Linked DNA regions of Sus scrofa. The protein of the gene in region 3 purifies or fractionates together with the protein of the main gene of each other region. This does not show direct contact. Links are inferred from orthologs where the notes say so. Each region holds a gene or a part of one and is shown on either strand. Other genes may lie near its edges. The genes, in order: STRIP1, STRN4, MINK1 and STRN3.

The links.
Region 1: the proteins of MINK1 (region 3) and STRIP1 purify together in Homo sapiens (affinity purification with mass spectrometry; 3 studies listed by BioGRID and IntAct, with this or other methods). This does not show direct contact. The link is inferred for Sus scrofa from reciprocal best matches to the Homo sapiens genes MINK1 and STRIP1.
Region 2: the proteins of MINK1 (region 3) and STRN4 purify together in Homo sapiens (affinity purification with mass spectrometry; 3 studies listed by BioGRID and IntAct, with this or other methods). This does not show direct contact. The link is inferred for Sus scrofa from reciprocal best matches to the Homo sapiens genes MINK1 and STRN4.
Region 4: the proteins of MINK1 (region 3) and STRN3 purify together in Homo sapiens (affinity purification with mass spectrometry; 3 studies listed by BioGRID and IntAct, with this or other methods). This does not show direct contact. The link is inferred for Sus scrofa from reciprocal best matches to the Homo sapiens genes MINK1 and STRN3.

The regions. Positions count from the first base shown.
Region 1 is NC_010446.5:110,063,966-110,067,523, forward strand, and holds part of STRIP1 (striatin-interacting protein 1), read right to left. Parts: coding exon 3,513-3,558; intron 3,317-3,512; coding exon 3,216-3,316; intron 2,442-3,215; coding exon 2,375-2,441; intron 1,127-2,374; coding exon 1,022-1,126; intron 450-1,021; coding exon 245-449; intron 1-244. UniProt on the Homo sapiens protein: Plays a role in the regulation of cell morphology and cytoskeletal organization. Required in the cortical actin filament dynamics and cell shape. Part of the striatin-interacting phosphatase and kinase (STRIPAK) complexes.
Region 2 is NC_010448.4:52,625,111-52,629,369, reverse strand, and holds the start of STRN4 (striatin-4), read left to right. Parts: upstream 1-1,459; 5' UTR 1,460-1,487; coding exon 1,488-1,769; intron 1,770-1,851; exon of another isoform or gene 1,852-1,904; intron 1,905-4,259. UniProt on the Homo sapiens protein: Calmodulin-binding scaffolding protein which is the center of the striatin-interacting phosphatase and kinase (STRIPAK) complexes.
Region 3 is NC_010454.4:52,063,721-52,067,840, forward strand, and holds the start of MINK1 (misshapen-like kinase 1), read right to left. Parts: upstream 2,849-4,120; 5' UTR 2,601-2,848; coding exon 2,544-2,600; intron 1-2,543. UniProt on the Homo sapiens protein: Serine/threonine kinase which acts as a negative regulator of Ras-related Rap2-mediated signal transduction to control neuronal structure and AMPA receptor trafficking.
Region 4 is NC_010449.5:68,469,520-68,473,723, reverse strand, and holds the start of STRN3 (striatin-3), read right to left. Parts: upstream 2,828-4,204; 5' UTR 2,616-2,827; coding exon 2,334-2,615; intron 2,216-2,333; exon of another isoform or gene 1-2,215. UniProt on the Homo sapiens protein: Calmodulin-binding scaffolding protein which is the center of the striatin-interacting phosphatase and kinase (STRIPAK) complexes.

The DNA.
Region 1 (3,558 bases), on a different chromosome or scaffold from region 3:
CGAGGAGATGGAGAAAGGCCTGGGACACTTTCTGGAAAAGGCACGACTTCAGGGGAGGCACAGAGGAATGGGGGATGATGACGGAGGCCAAGCCCTGCAGCCTCTCCAAGGCCTTCCGAGACCTCCACCCTGATACCACAAAAGCAGGAGCCAGGTTCTTCCCTGTGCCTCGGAGGGATGCTTAGCACAGAGAAGGAAAGTTGTCACCTCCTCCCCGACCCGCCTTGTGCAGAACCACACTCACCGTTGCCGTAGGCCCAGTCGTCGTTCAGCCGGTGTCGCACCTTCTGGTAGATGGCAGACATGGTCTTCATGTTGCTCTTTCGCCACTGCCGCCCCAGGTACTTGGTCTGCACCTTGAGCAGCTTCAGCACATAGAGCTGCATCATGGCCTGTTTCACCTTCAGCGCCCGCTTCAAGATGGGGGCTGACTTGAACACCACCAGCATCTGGAGAGGGCACAAGAGAGGCCCACGTTAAGGGCAGAAGTAAATGCCTGCGCCGTCGCCCCGCTGCTAGCCCTCTTGGGGACATGGTTACAGTGACCGAGTGCTGCGGGCTTCCCCAGACTGAGGGGTGTCCTGGGACATGGGGCTTCCACAGCAGACCAGGACAGCCCTAGCAAACCTGGATGGTTGGTCACCCTAATTACGGGTCGGTCTGGAAGAAAGCTATGAATTCCTTCGCCAGAACTATCCCTACGTGCACATGTATACACCTGCAGTGAATTCATGGACCGCCCCACCCCAAGGCATCTGCAGACTCAAGGTTAAGGATGCTCAGAACCCTGGTATGTGGAGATTAAGAGGACACAGAAAATTCCTTCTATACACGTGGATTTATTTCAGTGCATGACTGAGCCTCTTCCAGCTTCCAGTTCAACTCATCAAGGAACCAGGGATCAGCCCTTAAGATGCAAGTCCACCCTGGGGACTCCCTGCACCATGTGAAGGGGACAGGACAGCATGTGGCACTTGGCTTTGAGCTCCACATTTCACACCTGCTGACTGCGCTGACTCACCATTGTCCTCGAATGCTTCCATTTTGTCAGCTTGTTCAAGATCCGAAGCAGATTGATACAAGAAAAGAGGTTCCTCCAGCAAAACTGGTTATTGTCACCTGCTTCCTGCAGGGAAAACCCAGGAACACTCATCACCTGCACAGCCCCAGGTGCTCAGCAGCTTCCAAGGCCCTCACTTATATGACCTCAGCACTGCAGGGTCTCTCCATGCCTGTACCAGGAACCCTCTGCTCCCCTCAGCACAGGGGGACCTCCACCCCAGAAGCTGCCAGATGGTACTTCTATACAATGGGCTACTACGCAGCCGTAAAAAAGAACGAAGTAGCCATGCTCAGCAACGTGGACGCAATCAAAGCATGTCATACTAAGTGAAGTAAGTCAGAGGAAGATGAACACCCTATGATATCACTCAAGTGTGGAATCTAAAATACAGCACAAATGAACCTATCTCAAAACAGAAACAGACTCACACACAGAGAACAGACTTGTGGTTGCCAAGGGGGAGCGGGGAGGGGGCAGAGTGGTAGAGACCGGAAGTTTGGGGTTAGCAGATGCAGACTATTGTATTTAGAAAGGATAAACAACAAGGTCCTACTGTACAGCACAGGGAACTATCTCCAATCTCCCGGACAGACCACGATAGAAAAGAACATTAAAAATGTGTGTGTGTATACAAACATCTGAGTCACTTTGCTGTACAGCAGAAATTGGCACAACATTGTAAATCAACTAGACTTAATTTTTTTTTTTTTTTTTTTTTTTTTTTTTTTTTTTTTTGCTTTTTAGGGCCACAACTGCAGCATAGCAGCATATGGAGGTTCCCAGGCTAGGGGTTGAACTGGAGCTGTAGCCGCCGGCCTACACCACAGCCACAGCAACACCACATCCAAGTCGTGCCTGTGACCTACACCACAGCTCACGGAAATGTCGGATCCTTAACCCCCTGAGTGAGGCCAGGGATCGAACCCACGTCCTCATGGATACTAGTCAGGTTCGTTAACCACTGAGCCACAATGGGAACGCCTACAAAAATTGTTTTTAATTAAAAAAAAAAAAGAAGTTGGCAACAGATAGGGAGTGCTCCCTAAATTTTCTTGCAGGAAACATGGAGTGTGATAGTAGCGGCTGTGGCCTCGGCTTCCACTTCCCTCAGAGCTGTGGCCCCCAGAGTTCCAGTGTGGGGAGCGGGAAGCAAGTTGACCAGGCGAGCTCTGGGTCAGCAGCCCCTGGAGTCCACACTCCTGATGAAATAATCCCTCTGCAAGCTTCCTCCCCGGGTCCCTCTACGCAGTCACAGTGCTTCCACACTGACCCTCAGGCCACAGGGAGCACTGGGAAGAGCCCACCACTCACCAGACTCTCGGCAGTCAGCTCGGGTAGCTCGTGCACCACGCAGTGAGGGTAGTCCAGGACAGAAATGCTGCAGAGGGCAAGGGAAGCCAGGCCTCACCAGGAGCAAGGGTGGCGCCGGGCGAGCAGCTGTGACAGGACTGGCTCCTGGCACTCCTCCCTCACTTACTGGAGCAGAGGCTGGAATCTACTTGCCTGCACCACCCGGTTTCCCCAGCCACAAGACAGGGAACACCTGCGCCAGGACAACCTGAGCGGCCCTTCTGCAGCCAGTCAGACGTGTACCTGTAAGGGGTGGAGACCCTGCCTCCCTCACAGCAATAAATCTGGGGCTGAGGGGCAGGGATTTCTCAAGGCAATTAATTTATGCCAAGCGCCTACTGGAGACTGTCTGGTTAACTGCCAGCCAGCCTGTGGTGTATCATACTGATGAGTGGTCCACATCAGGCACAGCTGGCACCAGGTGAGGGGGTGGGGGTAAGAGTCAGCAGAAAGGCATTAGAATGCACATGAATAGGGTTCTCTGAGAAAGCAGGAGGCCTGCCCAAGAAGAGAAGAGAAGGAAAGAAAAGAGAAAAGAACAGAACAGAAAGCACAGAAGGCCAGTGAGGGCTGAGCCCAGGATGGGAACTCTCCTACCCAGGCACAGACAGAGTCACCTGTCACTAAACTGGCTAGACTTGGGTTTGACAAACTGACGTTTTCTACAGGCAGGGACCCTGAACCCTTCATCTTTGTGCCGATGTCTGGCTTGTGGGTGCTGAAAGGGCTCAGTGGGAGAGGCCAGCTAGGAGGCCTGCCATCTGCCCAGACCCACCCCTTCTTGATCCCTGGTTCTTATCACCTGTTCTTGGCAGTGATGTAGGACATGATGTTTTGATTGAAGAATTTTAGGATCAAAGGGATGCAGTTGGCAAACACCAGGTGCTGGGCCATGTATTCAAACTGAAACCAATGGGAAAAAAACATAAGCATAGCCCTTGGGACCCCACCCTCCTTCTTCCGCCAGAGGCCTGTGTCTCAGAACATTCATGCAGAGCTCAAAGGGGTTGGAAGGCCAGGGCCTCTGTTCTTAGGGGCTGGAGGAGCAGCACCGCCTGAGGCCCTGGCCCAGTGGACAGAAAGAAGGTGCTGCAAGTACCTGGTAGACGTGGTTCAACTTAAAGTGCTTGAGCAGCAGCAGTAGG
Region 2 (4,259 bases), on a different chromosome or scaffold from region 3:
TGACAGGGCAGGAAACCAGCAGGGGGCGTGAGAGAGAAAAAGGTGGCCATGGGAGGAGAGAACACTTAAGCTGAGATTTTGTCTCTCCTCTCCCCACAAAACAATGTAAGTGGGTCCAGATTCTGCCCTGGCTTGAACCTCAACTGCTGCATCTGTAGAATGGGAATGTGATGGGTAGAGCAAATGAGTGATATGTAGAAAAACCTTTGGGGACAAGGGCAGTTCCCACGAGTGCTGGTGACACTGAGGGGCTGCTTACCTCCTAGGGTGCAGGCTGACGGAACTCCAAGGGGGTGGTTCCAGCCCAGCTCAGCTGCACTGCTGAAGGAAGATGAACCAGAAAACCCCAAATCAACCAACTTCACACAACAGGGCACAATTTCATCTTATGAAATCTCATAAGCTCAGGCAGGCATCACCTACCTGAAGCATCTTAGCAGTGAAAGGAAGGCTGTCATAGCAACCTATACCCATCCCTTCTTTCGTGAATGTGTCCAGAAAGGTAGGGGTAGAAGTGATAGAAGGTGTTACCATGACAACCCCTTCCCTAGACACATTACATTCTGAGAGACAATCCTAAAATGTCTTCTACCTTGGTGGGCCTGGTTCTAGGGTCATTGGAAGGCAGAGTGCCCCCATTACCATAGTACCCAGGACTTGGCTCTGCCAGTTTCTCACCTCCCTAGGGATAGCCCGCATCTTGTAACCATAACAACTACTCCTCAGCAGAGCATCTCCTCCTCTAAATAAAAACACCTGGCTGGTCCAAGGCCCTCCCACCATGGGAAAGGGGGAGATGGTTACCATGGTAATGCCAACCAGGAGGCTGGGGAGAGGGGCTGGGAAAGAGATGTTTCCCTCAGCAGTGTCCTTGGGGCCAGGCTCCTTTCTACCTGAGCGCTAGGTGAGGTTGCCATAGTAACCAAGGAGGGTAGGGGCCGAAGGACCACCGGGGACTTGGGTGACCTTAGCAACCTCCTATAGGTAGGTGCAGGGCCAGGAGAGGTGGAGCTCCAGGACCATAAAGGTGGAGGGGAAGGGAGGCTAAGGGTGTCCCCGACTGAGGAAGAGTTACCATGACAACCGCCCCGGGCCAGGAATCAGGATGGGGCCATCGGTGAAACCACCCCTGGTGGTCGCCCTTTCTCTCAAAGAGGGACGGTGATCTAGGAGAGTGGTGTTTGGGTCTGGAGAGGGCTAGAATCTTTCTTTGGGGTGAAGCCGGAGGAGGGGTACAGGAAGCGGCCCCTCCCAAAGTCCTGCGCTTCCTAAGGGGTCTGGGTCGCGTTTGCCCTCCTCCAGGCGCGCGCCCCTCCTCGCCCCTCCATGCGCGCGCCTTGGGGGTCGACCCGGGTGGGCGAGGCGCGCGCCCGACATCGTTCCCGGCACCGGCCCCCCCGGCCCCCGCCGAGCGCGCGCTCGAGGGCTGGCGCGGCCGCGCAGGCGCGCGAAGCACAGCGGGCGCGCGGGCCGGCCCCGGGGCCTCCATGATGGAGGAGCGAGCGGCCGCCGCTGCCGCCGCCGCCGCTTCCTCCAGCCGCCCACTCGGCTCCGGCGCGGGCCCGGGCCCGACGGGGGCGGCTCCGGTCTCTGCCCCCGCCCCCGGGCCCGGCCCGGCTGCCAAGGGAGGCGGCGGCGGAGGCAGCCCCGGCCCCACGGCGGGGCCGGAGCCCCTGAGCCTGCCGGGGATCCTACACTTTATCCAGCACGAGTGGGCGCGCTTCGAAGCGGAGAAGGCCCGCTGGGAGGCGGAGCGCGCCGAGTTACAGGTGAGCGCCGCGCCGAGTTACAGGTGAGCGCCGCCCAGGGACCCTCGACCCCCCCGCCCGGCCCGGCCCGGCCCGGCCTCACCCGCCGCTGCCGCCGCCGCCATCTTGGAGCAATGGCCGCCGGGACTGCCGGGGGGGGGCGGGAGGGGACCGCGACCGGCCCGCAGACGGAGTGAGGGGCCGTCCGAGGGGGGTCCTGAGGGCTCCTGGGCGGCTGGAGACGGGAGGGGGGCCCAGGGGCTGGAGGGCCCGACCGGGGCAGCCAAGAGAAAGGGCGCAGGGGACCAGAACCGGCTGGGAGTGGGAGTGGGGGTGAACGGACTGGCCGAAGGGTCCCTGAGAGAGTGGCCTCGGGGACCCGAGCGGACCCCAAGAGAACTCGGCCAAGGGTGATGAGAGGGCATGGAGGGGTCTTGTACGGGAGTGAGCAAAGAACATGCAGGGTGCTGAGGGAGTCACACTCCGTCCCCGTTGGAGGTGGAGCCCGGCGGGCCCCGGGTGGGAAGAGGGGACGTTGGGGGGACTTGGGACTCGCCGGAGTCGAGAGCAGGTCGGGGCTGGGCTCCCTTGTGAGTAGGGAGAGGAAGTCAGGGAGCTCAGGACGGGTTTGTTTCGGAGTGTTAGGACGGCGGGGACTGAAAGATGGCTCTGCCGGGACTCCGGGGAGGAGAGCGAGGTCTCGGGGGTGTCAGATGAAGGTGTGTGCCCCTTCCCTCTGAGGAGGAAACTTTGTGGAGCCTTGGCAGTGCGTCGCTACCGCCTCCCGGGAAGGGATCCCGGGGGTGGAATCATGGAGGGGGCCAGGACGTGCCCCAGGAGCCTGTGCTGGAAGAGCTTGAGAGCCGAGAAACTCTTCGGGGATGTGGGAGATGGGGGGACTCCCGCCCAGAGATGGGAGGTGTGGAAGATGTCAGGTGCAGAGCCCCGACCTGGAATGAGAGGAGGTCGGCCGTGTCCAGCGGTGGAGCTGGGGCGTGGGGTGAAGACACGAGGAATTGGCCGAATCTGGGGGTGGCGGGGAGCATTTTGTAGAGCAGGAAGGCAGCCAGAGGAAGAATCTCACAAAGATCCTGGGGTGGGGGGTAGTGTTTGTGGAAGTTTCTGGGAAAGGACTCTGGTTTGTGGAGTAGCTTGAGGGAGGGCTGTACCCCTGGGATGATGTTTGGAAGGCGCCGAGGAGCTGGGCTGGGTTTTGTGACCTTGAGAGATGTGGGTCCGTTTGCTGGGTGTCCCTAGGAGCCTGGGTATCAGAATTGTGAGGATTTTAAGGGTTCTAAGGATGTGCTGCCAGGAGTCTGAGGGGTCCTGGTCTGTGGTGTTATCAGCAGAAGTCAGCGCCTGCTTCTAGCATCTTTCCCCCTCTGATTTGCTGTTTCCTGTCTAGGAGAGGTGGGGACTGAAAGAAACACCTGGTTAGAATTTTGTCCATGGGATGAATAGAGAGAGCATCCCGCAATTCTCCCACCCCTGTAGGGATCCTGGCTCTGTGGTAGCTGAGGCTTGGTGCTGGGGGGGTTGGGTGGGAGAGAAATCCTTATGCAAGTACCCCTTGTTTTTGTGTTCCATCTCTCCTTCCAGAGCTCTTTCCCAGAGTACGTCTTTTTAGATCTTCTTAGTACCCCTTCATGTAGGCAGGGCCAGTGTCCTTGCCCTCGCTCAGCAGCTGCTATCGCAGCTGCTGTTTATTGAGCACATACTATGTGCCAGGCATTGTGTCAGGCACTTTAAATAAATCCTTGCAACCTTCTGGGAGGGTAAGTGATATTCCCCCCCTTCCCTCCCCTTTAAAGAAATCAAGCAGAAGAGGAAGTGGAGGCTTTGAGCAGGTCAGTGATTTATCTAGACTCATAGCCTGTGGGTGGCAGAGGTGGTCTGTGGGCTTTCGAGCCCATGCGTTATACTTCTCTGATGCCCAGGACAGAGGAGAAGCCTGTTCCAGGAAGTTCTGGCCTCTGCGGGAACGTCCAAGCAGTCACAGCAGACCTGGGGTTAAATCTTGGTGCTTGGTGTCTGGGACTTCACACCTGTGCAGCCTGCAGCACCCCCCAACCCACCTCCTCATCTTTGAGACAAACAAGAGAAAAGATGTGTCTGTTCCCCTCCTTAGTGGTCTTCTTGGGCTTTGGGAGAAAGTTGTGGATAGCACCCGCTTAGACGCTCCTTTGTCTAGCCTCCGGCGCCACTCACTTTGTTTTCTTTTGTTCTGTTATGTTAGCGCACATTCAAAGCGCTCAGGCATCTGTGTGCACATATTACATACATGTGAGTGAAGGGGACCCCCGTCCCTTTCCTGACCTGCTCCCTAACTCGCCTCCCCAACTGTTTTCTGTGAAAGTAGTTCAGCTCCATGTGTGTAATATATGAGATCATATCATGTGTATCATTTTGTGACCTTTTTTCCCACATAGTCATGCGTCTTGGTGTTCCTTTCATATCAGCACAGAGAGCAATACTCACTGTTTTTGAAAACTATATTCCACTGGTGTTTGT
Region 3 (4,120 bases):
AGGTCAAGGTTACAGAGTGAGCGAGAAAGCAGGAAAACAAGCCCATGCTGCTGAGCGGGTGGAGCCTCAAAGAGGTCAAGGGTGCCTGGGGTCACAGAGCGGCAGGTCCACCGGGCTCCCCACACACACGGCTGAGAGATGGTGCAATTCAATCTCCCCCAACATCAGGCCATTACTCTCATCACCAGCTGCGAGCCAAGCCTTATCTTGAAACAAGAGAAGACACCCTGGGCTCTTCGAGGCTGGTTAATAAACGCTGAGTGTGTCCTCCCAGCCCCTCCCCAGGCCCCCATCGCAAGATGCCGTCGTGCAGGGAAACGTGCTTTTCTGCTATAGCCTCCAGGTTGCCATTTCTCGCTGGAAAACAGGAGCAGAACAAAAGATGACTGAGCAAGCTGCTCCACAGTGCCATGGGGGCTCTCCTAGGCCCCGGGAAAAGGTCAGCGGCAAGGAGAAAGCCGCCCTCTGCAGCCCCATTTCAAAGAAAGCACTCCCTCAAGCCCTGGGGTGGTAGTGGGAGAAGGCCAATGCTTTCCTAGGAAGCATGAGGCAGCAAAGACACCAGCACTGAGAGCAGGTCGAGGGGCTCTCTTGAGGAAGGGCACGGCGAGTAAGGCGAGAGGCAGGTGAGGAAAGAGGCTGACACTGCTTCAAGTAGAGAGGTCCGGAAGGGAAATACCACATCCAAGGTCAGACGGTGTTTGCAGAATTGTTGGAAATCCCGGGTCGAGGCCAACCTACCAGAAGAGGCCAAAGGAAAGGAGAAGCCCAAGCAGAGTCCCACAAGGTTGAAACCAAAGGTCACGGTTTGGACCCACCCGTTTATTATATTTCAGTCCCCACAGGGACCTGTCGCCCAAGTTAATCAACAACCAAGGTGCAGAGGGAAGGTGGGGGTTCATCCCAAAGACAAGCTGATTAAGGGGAGCCTGGATTTCCATCTCACACCCCAGCTGGCTTAACGTGAGCATCACACTTGAAAGTGACCTTAATTAAGAACCTCCCTCCTAAAACCATGAGACCCTCTCTCCCCCAAAGCACATCCACACACCCCCCTACCCACAAGGAGGAGGAGAGAAAGAGAGAAATTCAGGGCTCAGTCTCCCTCCTGGGCAACTTATCACCTTATCTCCAGCAAGTCAGGTCTCCTAGCCCAACAACTGCACCGAACAAATTATGACCTGAATGGCAAGGAAAACTGTGTCACCTAGAGAAACCCAATTAACGACATGACTCTGCTCTCTTCAATTCCCCTCTCCCCTCCAGTCATATCGGGGGCACCCGTGCAGCTGACCGCCTCTCCCCACTACTTGCCGGGCTCCTCGGCTAACTCAAAAGCCAGAAGACAACTTCAACAGGGGCCTCCTGAGCAGCTAACCCAGAGACGGGAAATCGTGCCCTGGCCAACCCCTTAGCCTGCTGAGAAAGCCCGAAGGACACGAGACAAAAACCCCCCTCTGGGTGACTGGCAAGGGTCTTCACCTTGAAATCACTCAATTGCCCCTTAAGCCAGGGCTCCCTGCTGAAGAAAAACACACAAATGCTTCTGAAAGCTCCCAAATGAGGGCACGCAGGAACCCCAGGAGGGACAACAAATGGGTACTTGCAAGAAATTGCTGCTGCAGTGGTTTCCTCGGATCCCTTTTCTAATGAACCCCCCCCCCCCCCGAGATCTCCATTGCCTCCCCCTCCCGCCAGCAAAGCCACGAATACCCAGGCTTTTCCAAACCTGATGGACCACAGGCTGCGTTGTGTTTGTGTGTGTACATACATATAAACATCCTCTTCCCGGCCCAGGCCAGAGTTTCTGAAGATAAGAAAGGCGTCCCCTCCTCCCCCAGTGCACTTGTCTTTCCTCCCAGCCCCACACTGCTGCAGAGTTGGTAATGTAATATGCGGGGACCCTGAGACCGGAAATGCCTGGTTCTGGACTGCTGCACTTGAAACGCGACCGCAGGCACGGGGAGAGCTGTGCAGGGGGATGAGGGCGGCGGTGGGAGGTGTGAGGCCGAGCGGGGAGGCTGGAGTGCCGACCGGGAAAGAGATGCAATTCACGGCCGGGCGAGGAGGAGAAAGGGCGACGAGGGCGAGGCTGGCAAGGCAGTGGCAAAGTCAAAATTCGAGGAGGCGAGAAAGAGGAGGGGGAGGAAGAAGACCTAAGTAAGAGCAAGGGGGGAAAGAGGCCCCAGAGGAGGTCAGGGGCCAGGGAGGTGATCCTACAGGTTCAGGGGAGCCAGAGGGTGACCCTCAAGCACCTGGGAGAAGGGGGTCCGGAACCGGAGTAAAGGTAGAGGTGGAGGGAAGTGTGGGGGCGGGGCACCCCAGGGCGGGGACCGAACTAGCTCCCAGAATCTGCAGCGCGTGGAGAGCCGACGGGAGCAGAGGGCGGGGGCCCGGCGGCGGCGGCTGCGGCGGGCGCGGGGGAGAGGGGCCGGGGTCGCGGCGGGGGACAGGGCGCCCGGGGAGCGCGCGAGGCGTGCGGGCGCCCGCTCCCCTGCGGCGGGGACTGGAACCAGGGCGAGGCTGGGGGGCGGCGCGCTCACCCGCAGGGCGGACAGGTCGATGTCGTCCAGGCTGCGGGCGGGGGCTGGGTCGCCCATGGCCTCCGCGGGGAACCGGGCCCCGGGGCCGCTCACGCTCCGGCTCGGTTTTTCCGCTGCCGCCGTCGCCGCTTCTCCCCCATCGGGGGATCCTGGGGGCGGACTCCACCGCGCCTCCCCCGGAGAACGGGGAGGGGGAGGGCCGGCGGGAGGACCTACCCACCGACTGACAGGAGCGAGCGCCCCAGAGCCTGCAACCCGAGCCTCCCCGCTGTCCTGCGCAGGCGCCGAGTGGCCGCGCACCGGGAGGGTGGAAGAGGGAACGTGACGCGAGCGCGCCGAGCGCCCCCTCCCCCTCGGCGCCGACACCTGCGCGCAGGCGCAGGCGGGAGAGCGAAAGGCGCGCGCGAGGACCGAGCGGCCGCGCGAGCCTGGCGTGGAAGAAGTGGGCGGAGGCCGAGGCGGCCGGGGAGCGCGCCCACCAGCCGGCGCGCGTGCGCACACGCGTTTCCTTCCTTTCCCTTATTTTTTGCCCTTTCTCTCCCCCGTTTCCTTCCGAGCTCTCCTTTGATGCCTTTCCTTCCCTTTCCCTCTTCTTTCGTGTGCCCAGCTGCCAATCAAGCCACCCACCTCTCTATTTGCGGGGGAAGGGGGCGGGACCCAACCTCCTCTATTACTAGGGGGGGTTGTTATGGTAACTCCCCACGCGAGGGCTGGGTGGCCTCTAGATAGGATGGGCTGTCCACCCACCTAATTGCCATGGCAACAGTGGAGCCGCCGAGGGAGGGGCCTCTAGTTGAAAACTTGGCTGGAGAAACCACCTGGGAGCTGGGGAGTGGAGAGGGGCACTAACTGCCGGAGGAGTGCCCCTTACCCCCTTCCCTGGCTGGAGTGGAGAGTGTGGAAGAGGGGATCTCAGATCTCAGAATAGGGAATCCTACAGCCGACCTTTGTCTCTGCACTTCTTGTTCTGCACCAAGGAACTGTTTCAACAATTATTCATTGACTGATCATTGGAGCTGTGCCTGGGGGGAGGGGGTGGCAAGGAGGGGAGGAGGAGGAATGTATGTCCAACCCCTTCAAATCTTGCTTGGGTCACCTTAGGTCTAGTCGTGTAGGCATAGCACCCCCAGCCATTAGCCTCACTGGAGGCTGGGTAACGCTATATAAAGAGCAAGGACTCGTGTTCTGCCACAGACACGCTGTGTGACCTTGAGCAGGTTGCTTTGCTTCTCTGGGACTTTCTTTCACTGTGAATTTGAAGAAGGCTGCTTGATCTCTTCCAGCAACAAGGGTATCTCTGAGAGATCCCACCATTAGCCATAATGTAAATATCACTTAGGAGGGTTTGAATGGAAAATCCTTGGGGGAGTTCCCATCGTGGCTCAGTGGTTAAGGAAACTGACTAGTAACCATGAGGACGCAAGTTCAATCCCGGGCCCCGCTCAGTGGGATAATGAGCTGTGGTGTAGGTCACAGACACGGCTTGGGATCCTACGTTGCTGTGGCTGTGGCGCAGGCTGGTGACTACAGCTCCAATTCGACCCCTAACTTGGGAACCTCCATATGCTGCAGATGTG
Region 4 (4,204 bases), on a different chromosome or scaffold from region 3:
CTGCGTCTGCAACCTACACCACAGCTCACTGCAATGCCAGGGATCGAACCCACAACCTCATGGTTCTTAATTGGATTCGTTAACCACTGAGCCACGACAGGAACTCCTCAACACACACATTTTTAAATGTGTACCTCACAATCATTCTTACAAAGACTGAAGGCATGTAAAGCAAATGTTCTAAAAACAAACCTGGAGACCTATGAACGAAGGAGCCCAAGAAAACATTTTAGAAACATAGGGCAAAAACGCACAAACACAATCATGAACATTTTATTACAGAAGAATCAGTGTGAATTGATAAAAAAAAATCCCTGGGAAAAAAGTGAGGCTAAAAACACTGTAGAACTTCTTTAAAATAAGCAAAGAAAGTTTAGAATGGCTTTATCAGAACTAAATATTTCAATAGTAAATAAACTGAAAGCAAGCAAGCAAAATGAATCGTCCTTAAAAGACATTTCTGTTACTGTCAAGAAGAGAACTAGAAGAGAAAGTAAAGACTAGGGCAGACAATATAGATAGGCCTCAATGTTGTACAGATTTTACCAAATTGGACACAAGACATTTTTCAGCTACTTACAGCAAGCAGTGAAGGCTATGAATGACTAATGCACTTGCTAGCTTGAAAAGTGTTTAAATTCAAGCTTTCCTACAACAGTAAAAAGGTTATAAACATGGTATCAAGGAGTTGTGAAGCATTATTTAGTGAGTCTAAACCTCAATGAAAATTTTTAAAAATACATGACTCATACAGAATATTAAGTATATACATAGAGATATTTTAAAACAGACTATACACAAGTTAACAACAATTTTGACTTAAGCTTTTTAAGTTATATTTTTAAACAATTTTCACTTAAGCTTTTTAAGCCATATTTTTAAAAGCTCAGTGGTATATCAAAGTACAATGTTAAAACACTGAATTGACTAACAGGTGTTAATTTATAATTAATTTCCTCAAGACTTGACAAAGTGTCAAAATATATGTTTTACTTTTTAAAAGTTTAACTTTACCCACTTTGTGGAGTCAAAAGTCGACTAGTTCCAAATCAAACTGAAGATATATATATTGAGGGCACACTCTTTTTAAGTTAATCCAATCTTCCTTCTTACAACACTACATTTTCCTAACTATTCACCCAAGGCATATATGACATACATGTCAGTGAACAATACTGCTTACATGCTAAATATATACCACTATGAAGAACAGGTGCAACACTATTTAGATGCACCCTTTTTTTTTTCTTCTAAGCCTAAATCTGCCTTGGAAAGGAATTTAAAAATAAATACAAACATCCAAAAGGGTTGAATAATCCTTTTTAAAAGTTATAGCCACTCTCAAATCCAAGATAAAAGCCCTTAAACTACCAACATCTTCCAAAAGTTAGGTAAACCAACCTATCCAAGTTTCATCTTAAAATTGAGTTCGGCTCAATTATGGAGGATCCTGAGAATATTTAACATTGCTTCCTTTACTTGAGTTAGTACCGTTGAGACAAGTACTTTTTACTTCAAGCTAATATCAAATCTTCCCTCAGTCGTTTCAAAAAGACAGGACAGATACTCTGGATAGGCTTTTTATGGGTAAAGATGGGGGATGGAGAAGGGGGAGCCCGGTGAAGGGTACTCCAAAAAGAAAAATTCAGCACAGAGAAGTGTTGATGAGTCAGTCACTAAGGAAGAAGTCAAAGGGAATCTAAGTGAGTAAGGCAGCATCCCAGGTAAGTAGACACTTAAAGTTGGCGGCAGGAAATGAAAACTTCACAGGTCAGCCGCAAGCCATTGTGCTCGGTGGCAGCTCTGGAAAGAAGCCTGGCTGTCAACTAGTAAGAGCTACCAACTCCGGGGGAGGGGGTCAGGCAAGTCAACTCGAAAAGAGGGGTGGTTCGGGAAAAGGTGGTAAAATGCCCATGCCAGTCCTTCTCCTCGGGTTCTCCATTTCACGAGGTACAAACGAGAGCAAGTTCAGTGCCCAGCAGCCCCACGCCAGGAACTTTCCCACAGAGAGGAACTCAGCCCCAAGACCCGGAGGCCCGGGCAGGCGGCCTCCGAAGGAGCCCCCGCGGACGCCATACTAACAGCCAAAATGGCTGCCCCAAGGAAGCCCGCACCGCGCAGCTAGAGAGGGCTGGGTAACAAGCTTGTGCGGTAAAAGGGGAGGGGGACTCTAGGAAGACCCGTCGCCAGGACCATCACCCATCCAGCCGCGCAGGTAGGTTCCTCTCGGCCTCCCTAGGCCTCGAGCTCCGAATGAGGGGAGTTCCGGCCCCACCCCCGGGCAGACAACCCCGCCGCCGCTGCTGTCCCGCACACCAACCCCAAGGAGGTACCTGCAGTTCGGCCCGCTCCACCTCCCAGTGCGCCCGTTCCATCTCGAACCGAGCCCACTCGTGCTGGATGTAGTGCAGGATCCCCGGGATAGTGTACTGCTGCGGCCGGGACAGCTCGGGGCCTGTCGCGGGACCGGCTCCCTCGGCGGCCGGAGGACCTCCGCTGCCCGCTGCTCCATTCCCCCCTGACGAAAGGCTCATGTTCCCCCCAGGTCCCTGCTGCTGCCGTGGAGGGGCCGCCATCCCCGGGCCGCCACCACCGCCTCCGGCGAGCTCGTCCATTGTGTGTGGGGCCCCGGCTGGGGCGCAGGGCGAGACGCCGACGGCTGGGGGAAGGGGCCGGGGAAGGTGGCCCCGCGCTGGTGGCGGGGCGGAGGCCGGCTGGAAGAGGGGCGGGGAGGGGGTTGTTGCTGTATGCCTGCCGTGGGTCAGAGCAGGGAGCTGCCGGCCGCCGCCATTACAGTCCCTCCTCCATCTGCCCGTCTCACTCACTCACTTTAGGGGAAGGGGGGGCCGCGGTGGGAGGGCGAGAGGGGGCAGGGTTGGGAAGGGGATAGACGTAGGGCCGCCGCTCCCGCGCAGCATGCCGGGTAGAGAACGCCACTGCTGCCGCTCGCCTGGTAGCCAAATAGAGTCCGGCCTCACCCTACGCAGGCGTACTGAGGAAGCAGGGTTGCCGTTAGAGGCGGGGAAGGAGCGCCAGCCCCGCCCTAGGCCCGCCCTCAGACCCGCTTCGGGTGTCTGGCTGCCCCCGCGGAGCCCGTGGGCTGTAGACTCCGACCTTTGGGGTCGAGTAGGTGTCGTCCTTTCTAGCAAGGGGTTTCCCTCGCTCAGTCAGCCCCCGCCGTTCCCACCCAAGGGTCTCGGCTGCGATTCTGCCTTCGAAGCTGAGTTTTAACCTGGCTGGTCGCTCTGGCCGGCCGCCGCCGGTCCTGAATTCCTGGCGTTTCTTTTGCATTCCTTGCGTGTTTCAGGCAGTCCCAGAGGATCGGGCCTCTTTCTCTGCCTGTCACTCGCTCTTTTTCTGGTTTCCTAACACCAGTCAGTTCCCTGGGCTTTGGGGACGTTCTCTTTTTGGCAAATAGCCCAGATCCTCCCGGACGTAGCGGCCGATTCCCTGTCTCTGGGCTTTGGACCGAATTCTGTGCTCCCTGTCGCACGTCGCAACTTGTTCCACTTTGCCTCCCTTCTTTATTATTCTGGGATGGAGTGTGTTTGGTGGGGGGGGGGGGGTTGGAAGGGAACAGGACCGATTGTTTTCATTTTTCTTTTGGGATAAGGGAACGTGAAAAACTTTAGATCTCGAAGCTAGGTGGAGGAAGAAAGAAAACTTTGAAGGAGAGTGGTTAAATTTGATGTTTTAGAAGTGAATAACTCAAAAATAATGTCATTCATAGCTGAATCTTTTGATGGAAATAGAAAATAAACACCCTGAAGACATCTTTTTTCCTTTTTTAAATTCCCCCCCCCACTTTTTTTTTGGCCCTGCCCATGGCATGTGGAAGTTCCCAGGCCAGGGGTGTACCCGCGCTGCAGTAACAGCCCTAGCTGCTGCAGTGATGATGCTGGATTCTTAACCTGCTGCTCCACAGGGGACCCTGAAGACATTGTAAAATCCTAAGTGAATGCCTAAGAATGTTTTCCTGGGTTGTTTTGAATGAATATAATGTATACAAAAAAGACAAGGTTAATCTTAAGTACCATAGTGTGTTTTCTTTTTAATGTGCTTAGTTGCCAAGGAACATCCTTAATGAACTGTTACGTTTCTAAAAGTTAATATAGCCAACAACCATTTGGTTAAAAAAGCCAAAAATAATATTTACCATTATGATAAGGAAAAAAGATTCATTAATTACAGCTAAGCAGGAAAA